Mus musculus: one gene and its partner. The protein of the gene in region 1 interacts with the protein of each later gene in a pairwise test. Links are inferred from orthologs where the notes say so. Each region holds a gene or a part of one and is shown on either strand. Other genes may lie near its edges. The genes, in order: Cpsf7 and Smad3.

Region 1 (3,914 bases):
TCTAAGAAGTCCAGTAGCCACTGAGAATAAGAGAGCAGAGCAACCAGCTGGTCATGGTGCCTCATGACTGTAATCCACGCACTTGAGAGGCTAGATCAGAACTACTATGAAGCTGAGGAGTTTTAGTACCTAAAAAACAGGGTAGCAAGGAAGGAGGAGGGAACACTGAACAACTTAAAAGAGTGTTAACAAAACTACAGCATTGCAGAAACACCGACACACTTAAAACACCCTCCTCTGGCCTTCATGGGCACCTACACACATAGTATGCATAAACTCACAAAGGCAGATAAACACATGTACATACTTTTTTAGTCTAAAAAAAAGAATAAGAAAAGAAAATGCGATTGCCTAGCAGGCAAGGCTCTGGGTTTGGTGCTTAGCACAAACAACAAAATTGTCATATGTGATATAAAGAATATTACATAGTATTAAGGAGTTAGCAGTAAAGTATAATAATCATAAATATATGTGGATCTAATAGAGCACTCAAATATATGGAAGAGACACTTGACAGAACTGGTGGGGGAACACAACAGATTTTAATGCCACATTTTAATAAGGAATAGAATATATAGATGTCGGAATCAATACTAGACAACCAGAACAATACTAATTTAAGAATATTTAACTGAGATATACAGGCATTCCACACAAGAGATCATACATTCCTCTCAAATGTACAGATAATTATGCCCAGGAGATCACAAGTTGTCAAAAAACATGTCTTGATAAGTTTAAGATAAACCATACCAACTAGCTTTCAACACTACTGGAATAAAAACGGAAAATTCTCAAACATTTAAAACCAAGATGAGACAGGAGAATTACGAATTTGAGGCCAGCCTGAGTAACAAATTAAAACCGGCTTTTAAAAGGGAGACGGGGGAAGAAGCTCAAGAAAAGCTAGGAGGCTTTCGGGGGAGGTTCGGTAACTGTTCCTGGTATGCGTTGAGTCTCACACGGTGACTGGCCACCTAACCACATATTACCCAGTATTCTCACTCGAGCACACCGTGGGCTCAGGAAAGAATGGAAAATTCCCTGCATGATCGGCTCCAGCCTGCGCCTCGCCTTGAGGGGACCATTCCCTGGTCTGTGGGGTAGGTGAACTCTCCCTACAGTCTCCACGGCACAGAGGAGGACGAAACAGTCTTAGCTGCAGCCCGCCCCGAACCCGGCTCTCTCACCCGCGCCAGCGTCGGGATCAAGGTGACCACCGCCATCTCTCTCTTATAGCACAGTAAGCTGGCAACCGGGCCACTTCCGGGAATTCCGGGCGGTCGATCTGAGGACTTCAGCGGAGGTGGACCCCAAGCCGGAAGGCGCAACCGAGCGTATGGCGGAAGTAGCGGTGCGTGTGACGCCGCCGGTGGGGGGGGGGCGGGACCTGGGGCGGAGAGCGGTTCGCGCGCTTCGGGCCTAGTCGGGACTCTCCGCGGCCGCCGCCATATTCCCGGTAACGGGGGCGCGCGGCCCGGGGCCGGCGGGGCCGGAAGGAGGGCGGGGGCCGGCGCCGCGGAAGGGAGGGGGTCGGTTGGGGTGGCGGCGGCGGAAGACAGCGGGTGGAGGGAAGCGCGGGCCTCTGAGGGAGGGGCTGAGGTCCTGGAGCTGTGGGAGGGAGCAGGGCAGGCCTAGCCTAGGGCGAGGACAGGGCCCCGTTGGTGTGGAGGCGGCGGGAGCTTCCGGGCCCGCGGGGGCTCCGGCTTGGGACGCCCCCTGGGCCTAGCAGGTGCGACGGGCTGAGCTTGCGGCGTTCGCCGCGGTGGTTCACAGCGCGGCCTGAGGGCCCTCTCAGGAGTCGAGGCCCGGACTTGGCGGTGGCGCCATAGGCAACTACGGGCGCCGACTCGGAGCACCTCGGGTCGGGCCCGCGGGTGATGGGCAGCGAGCTCCGCGAGCCCGAGCGGCCTGGGAGAGCTGGGGGCGGCGCGAGGCTGGGGGCGGGGCAGAGCGGGTGGGGCCAGGCTCCCGGCCGCCGGGATGCTGCGTCTTGGGAGACTAGAGCTTGTTGACCCTTGCCCTCCTCCCAGCCTGGGACCCTTGTGCCTTAAAATTTTTTACCCTTTTCTGAATACCGTAGTGGCATCTTTCTTACTTTGTCGGTTCTCCGGGCTCGAGAGCGTATTTCCGGAGCCATGTCAGAAGGAGTGGATTTGATTGATATATACGCTGATGAAGAGTTCAATCAGGTGAGAGGAATTAGCAGCAGTTTTGGGGTTTCTTCCATCAATCTACTGGCAGTGGTTTCTCTCTCAGCTCAAAATAATTCCCTGTAATATCGAAGCGTTTCCCCCTAGCGGTGGCTTTGAAGACGACTGACCATTCCTCTTTAGGTTAATTTGAACCTCCAGGCTTCAATTTTAAAGGGCTTGCTTTAAGAGCAAATAAAAACCCAAGTGTAATAGTATGGTGAATCAGCCTGTGGAATTCTTTCCCCAAGTCATTTCAAAGTTGAATGACTAACCATAATTAAAAATGAAAATTACATTTGTTGTAGTACTGCGGAGATAATTTCGATGCTTGTTACTTTGCTGTTCTCTCAACTTGTGGCTCGAGCATGTTGGTCCCTCCCCCTGCTTGGTCCCCTCCCAATGGTGTACCATGAAATTACTTTAAAAGCCACAGTATACCAACTGCTTTAAAGGTGGAATTCCAGTGCCACTCCAAGTGTTTCAGTCTTTTTAAATAGCTTGACTGTCCTTTTTGAGAAGTCTCTGGGCATCCATTCGTATGGATGGAAGGAAGAAAGGTAAAAACCATTGAATAAACTAGTTTAAAGGCAAGTCAAGGACTCAGTCATCCTAGTTTGAATGTGTGTTTTAACATTTAAGTATCCCGTAAGATAGTAATCTGTGAGGTTGAGTTCTTCAATCTTGAGGTCAAAACTCAACAGAAAGTTTCTATTTAAAATTTTTATCTTACCTGGGTTCTTTTTAGTACTGTTATTGTTGAGCTAGCTGGTTCTTGTCATTGGTGTGTTCCAGTGGGTACACAGAAGGACCTGGAAAGAATGGGCTAGAATGCCTAGGTGGTAGCCTGACTTTGACAGGCAACAAAAGAGGCTCATATGTCCCATTATTGTATTTTAAATTTTGTGTGTGTGCCTGGTTTGTAGGTGCCCAAAGAGCCTAGTGGTATGGGTCCAATGGAGCTGGTGTTACAGGTGGTTGTGAACCACCTGATATAGATTCTAGTAACCAGACTCAGGTCCTCTGGACAAAGTGTTCTTAGCTACTGAGCCCTCTCTGCAGTCTTGCTTTCCTGAGTTTTATGTGTTTATTTGAGTCATACTTTTGTCGTTTGAAGTTTATGGCTTTTTGTTTAACAAGACTCTCTTAGTTCTGTATTACTGAAAGATAGCCCCAATTCTGAATCTATGTCATTGACTAGTACTGTAACTAATTCACTTCAGAGAATAGACAGTTGTTGACCACGGGCCATATTTGATCTAAAAACAAAAAAGGAATAAATGGTTTATAACTTAGGGGTCATAGACAAGACACAGTTCTTGTCCAGTGGACACGGCTTTGTCAAGGTACACATTATTACCCTCAGTAATTTGTTTATTAATTAACTTTTTTAAAAAAGGACTTTCTGATCTAAAGCCAAAATTAGTATGTGGACATTTATACCAAGCAGGCAATGTTGATATGGGGAAAACTGAAGCAAGTATCAACTTTGAATGTTTTACGTTCTAAAAGTTGAGAAAGGAGACCTCATCCCCATAAGTTCATTTTTGGCAAAGCTGGTTTTAGTGCAATCTGGAAGTTGCTAAATTGTTTAAAAAGTCTGGGTAGAGTTGTTAAAAGTTGGCTTAGATGGAAGTCAGCCTGTATGAATTGGGTTTTTGAATGTCTTAGAAGACAGTTACTGATTTGTCCCAAGGTAGCCCAGCATACAACTCCCTCAAG
Region 2 (3,814 bases), on another chromosome or scaffold:
GAAAGCTGGTACCAGGAGTGGGGTGAAGTCCATCACAGTGGGAAGTCAGGAAGCAGGAGCCCCAGGTGGCTGGTCACAGTGCATACACAGCCAGGAAGGAGACTGAGATGAAGGCTTGCCTAGCTCATGTCTTCCTTTGTCCAGGATCTCACCCCAGAGACTGGTGCTACCCAGAGTGGGTTACTCTCCTTATCTCAGTGAACCTGATTGGGATAATCCTCCGCAGACATCACAGAGACCCATCTCCCAGGTTCTTCTAGGTTCATCAGATCGACAGTTGAGACTGACCATCACAGTTTTGGTCAGAGTATTTAATCACAGCAACTGAAAAAGAAACTATTACAGCAAGCTTTTGCTTTGGACTTTTAAGGAAACTCCCTAGTTGTCTCTCAGAGCCATTGTATCACTGTTTTCCATGCGTGATGTTTAAGAGTTCTGGTTGCTCCACACCATTGCCAGCACGTGGCACACACGGTCCTTTTAAATTACAGCTGTTCTGATGGTCATATGGTGGCATCTCATTGTATATAGTTACGTTTTGCTTTATGTATATGGGTATTTTGCCTGCATTTATTTATGTCTGTGTACCATGTGTGTGCCCAGTGCCTGAGGAGGTCAGAAAAAGGCACCAGAGACTCTGGGACTAGAGTTACGGATGCTTGTGAACCTCTGTGTGGGTGCTGGGAACCAACTTTGCTCCTCTGCAAGAACAGCACGTGCTTTTAACTGTGGAGACATCTCTCCTGTCCCTTCGATTTAATCCACGCTTTCCTTCTTAGTAATGACATAGAACATCTTTGCCATCTTTAACTTTTTAAACTAGCATTTGATTAAGGGAATCACCTGCTATTTGAATGTTGGGTTGCTTTTGGCATTCTTTATCCTAGAAAGGACCTCTGTGAGATATATTCTTTGCCGGTGTTCTCCTCTGACTTGTTACCTCTCTTTTTGTCCAAGTTTTATACCGATCAGAAGCCTCTCTCCTGAGTCCCATTGTATCGATATGTCAACTTTGACTTTTACGGACAGTGTTTTTGGTGGAGCAGCTGAGAAATCACTGTCTGGTCACAGAGTTCCTCAATGGTTTGAGATTTATTCTTTGACCCTTAGTTTCTACAGAGGTGTAAGGTGCAGGTTGAAGTTCATTTTTCTTAGTGTGGATCTTCAGGAGGCTCAGCACCACCTGCTAAAGGATTAACCCGTCCCTGCTGGTGTGTCTTTGGACTTTCGATACAAGTCAATGTCCCATGTATATGTGACGGTCTTTGTTGGGTCTTATTGGTGTCATGGTCAGTTTTGAGGATGTCGGCACACTACTTTGATGATGGAAGCACTCTTGCTTTTTTTTTTTTCCATCTACTGTTTGTCTTTGTGCATGTATATGTGTACTTGTGTGGGTTTGTGTGTGTGCAGGTATGCTGATGTGTGCAGGGACCTAGGCACATGTTCGAATGTCTGTGGCTGCCAGAAGGTAGCTTTGGCTGCTGTTCCTCAGGTGCCATCCACTTTGTTTTTATTCTTTGGGACAGGGTCTCATTGACCTTGGTCTCACCATATAGGCTAGGCAGGGATCTGGCTGTCCCGCCTCCTCTGTGCACTACCCAAGCCAGCTCTTCTCACATGGGTTCTGGAGACAGAACTCCTTGTGTTCTTACACTCGCAACGCAGGTACTTTGCTAAGTGGATCGTCTCCCTAGCACCCGTTGTTACTTTGAAAGCAAGAGGATACCCCTCCCAGTGCCCAGGAGGGACTCTCCAGCTCCACTCTTCCTCATGGCTGGCATGGCCCTTCTCTGGCCATTTCTCTCCTGTCCCCCTCTTTCCCATCAGAGAGGTGGCCACAGCATCCAGCTAACCTTGTGTTGAGGCTTATGTCATACCCTGGAGGGACAGTGTGGCCACCTCCCTTATCTTTGGGGACTTCGGTAAAGAAAGTGAGGGGAGCTGAAGGATTTTGTCTCCATCTACTACGAACCACTCTCTTGTTGCCTCTTCTTTGACCCCAACTCAGCCCCCGCTTGCCTAGGGCTGGCTTAGAGAATAACAGCAGTCACCGGTAACACTGAGAGGATTTCTCCCCAGGTGGTGCTCTGCAAAGTGCTTTCTAGTAGAGATCAGGTGAGGGGAGACTGTCCCCATCTTACACATGGGGCAGTTGAGGGTCCTAGTGCCCAGGCTTGCATAGTCAGGAGCATCTTCAGGTCTTAGGATTTCACATCTGGCTGCCTTCCTCCTGTGCCTCAAGGGCTAGTTTCAGGCTGTCCTCTCTTGTTCAGCTCTGTAATTACTGTTTTCAGCTGTAGGGGCTCCTTGGTCTGGGCCTCATGGGAGGGAGGTAATTACATCCTTCCACAAGTCCTTAGTCAGCAGCTCTCAGTCCCTGTGACCAGGCCTAGCACTGACCTTTGTCCCTCCCTATTCCAAGCCAGTAGCTTGGAGATTATTTGGACCCTGGTTGGCTCTGGTTGACACATCTGGCCAGCCCCTCTATTATAAAGTACTCATAAAATCTGTTGAATTCAGACCCATACGTGCCATAGGGACAGAGGGACAGCTTTCAGTGGCCCTCTGCTAGTCTGGCCCAGCTACTAAAAAACATCATGCCCTCAACCCTGGGCTCCTAGAACAGCTTTCTTGTAGAAAGGACAGTCTTGCTTCTCCTAATCTATACTCGCCACCCCACCGCCTCCCAACCTGTGGACCCCACACAGCCAGACTTATTGTAGGGCCTGTTGTGCTCACATGTGTACACGTACACAGTCCATTCAACATCTAAGAGGCCATTTTTTGCTTTCAGAGAAAAGTAGGACTCCCTGCCAGGTCAGCTCTCCAGGCCATTCAGCTTCCTTTTGTAGTCTTATACTTGGCTTCCACCCTGTTCAGCAGTCTCCTCTACGGGGCCAGACTGGTGGCATGTATATCTACTTAGGCTTAGTTCAAGAAGGTCCCCTTCCTTGAGAGCTGCTACTCTGAGAACCCTGGAGCCTATTGGGTACAAGAGCCTCTCTTCCAGCCTAGGGGACCTCAGCCTTCCTTAGTGGGCCTCCTTGTTTCTTTTGGGAGCTGGGACCCTGTTCAGCAAGAACAGTTAACAGTGGTGCTCAGACCTCCTGGTCCCCTGTGTCTAGGGGAGAAATGAACGCAAATGGGCCTGCCAGCAGCCTTGAACTCCCCAGGAGCTGCTGGGAGCTGGACTTAGGAGACGGCAGTCCAAATCTACTTAACTGACACTTTCTGTTCCTTCTTTGCCATGGCAGGTCACTGGATGGTCGGCTGCAGGTGTCCCATCGGAAGGGGCTCCCTCACGTTATCTACTGCCGCCTGTGGCGATGGCCCGACCTGCACAGCCACCATGAATTACGGGCCATGGAGCTCTGTGAGTTTGCCTTCAACATGAAGAAGGATGAAGTGTGTGTAAATCCTTACCACTATCAGAGAGTAGAGACGCCAGGTGTGTGAGTGTGTCCCTGCCCTCCCCCTCCTACCTACTCAGGAGGGTCTCAGAAGCCCTTGGGGCTGGGACCTCAGTGCGCTGGCACTGATCCACCTCTGTTGTGTCTCTCTTGGGGACAGTTCTACCTCCAGTGTTGGTGCCACGCCACACCGAGATCCCGGCCGAGTTCCCCCCACTGGATGACTACAGCCATTCCATTCCCGAGAACACTAACTTCCCTGCTGGCATTGAGCCCCAGAGCAATATTCCAGGTAGGTACGGGTGGCAGCAGAGGTGGCCAGGAGGCAGGGGTGGTGCCATTTCCCCATCTTCTCCAGATCGTGGGCATACAGCAGCAGGCTCTTGAGCCCTGACTCTGAA

What was found.
Region 2: the proteins of Cpsf7 (region 1) and Smad3 interact in binary tests that used the Homo sapiens proteins (3 or more experiments, as listed by UniProt). The two-hybrid records come from large-scale screens. The link is inferred for Mus musculus from reciprocal best matches to the Homo sapiens genes CPSF7 and SMAD3.

Annotation. Positions count from the first base shown.
Region 1 is NC_000085.6:10,523,869-10,527,782, forward strand, and holds the start of Cpsf7 (cleavage and polyadenylation specificity factor subunit 7), read left to right. Parts: upstream 1-1,375; 5' UTR 1,376-1,459; intron 1,460-1,625; exon of another isoform or gene 1,626-1,732; intron 1,733-2,083; 5' UTR 2,084-2,138; coding exon 2,139-2,192; intron 2,193-3,914. Other genes in the region: Sdhaf2 (succinate dehydrogenase assembly factor 2, mitochondrial precursor), read right to left, coding at 1,191-1,226.
Region 2 is NC_000075.6:63,667,366-63,671,179, reverse strand, and holds part of Smad3 (mothers against decapentaplegic homolog 3), read left to right. Parts: intron 1-3,257; coding exon 3,258-3,451; intron 3,452-3,573; coding exon 3,574-3,705; intron 3,706-3,814. UniProt on the Homo sapiens protein: Receptor-regulated SMAD (R-SMAD) that is an intracellular signal transducer and transcriptional modulator activated by TGF-beta (transforming growth factor) and activin type 1 receptor kinases.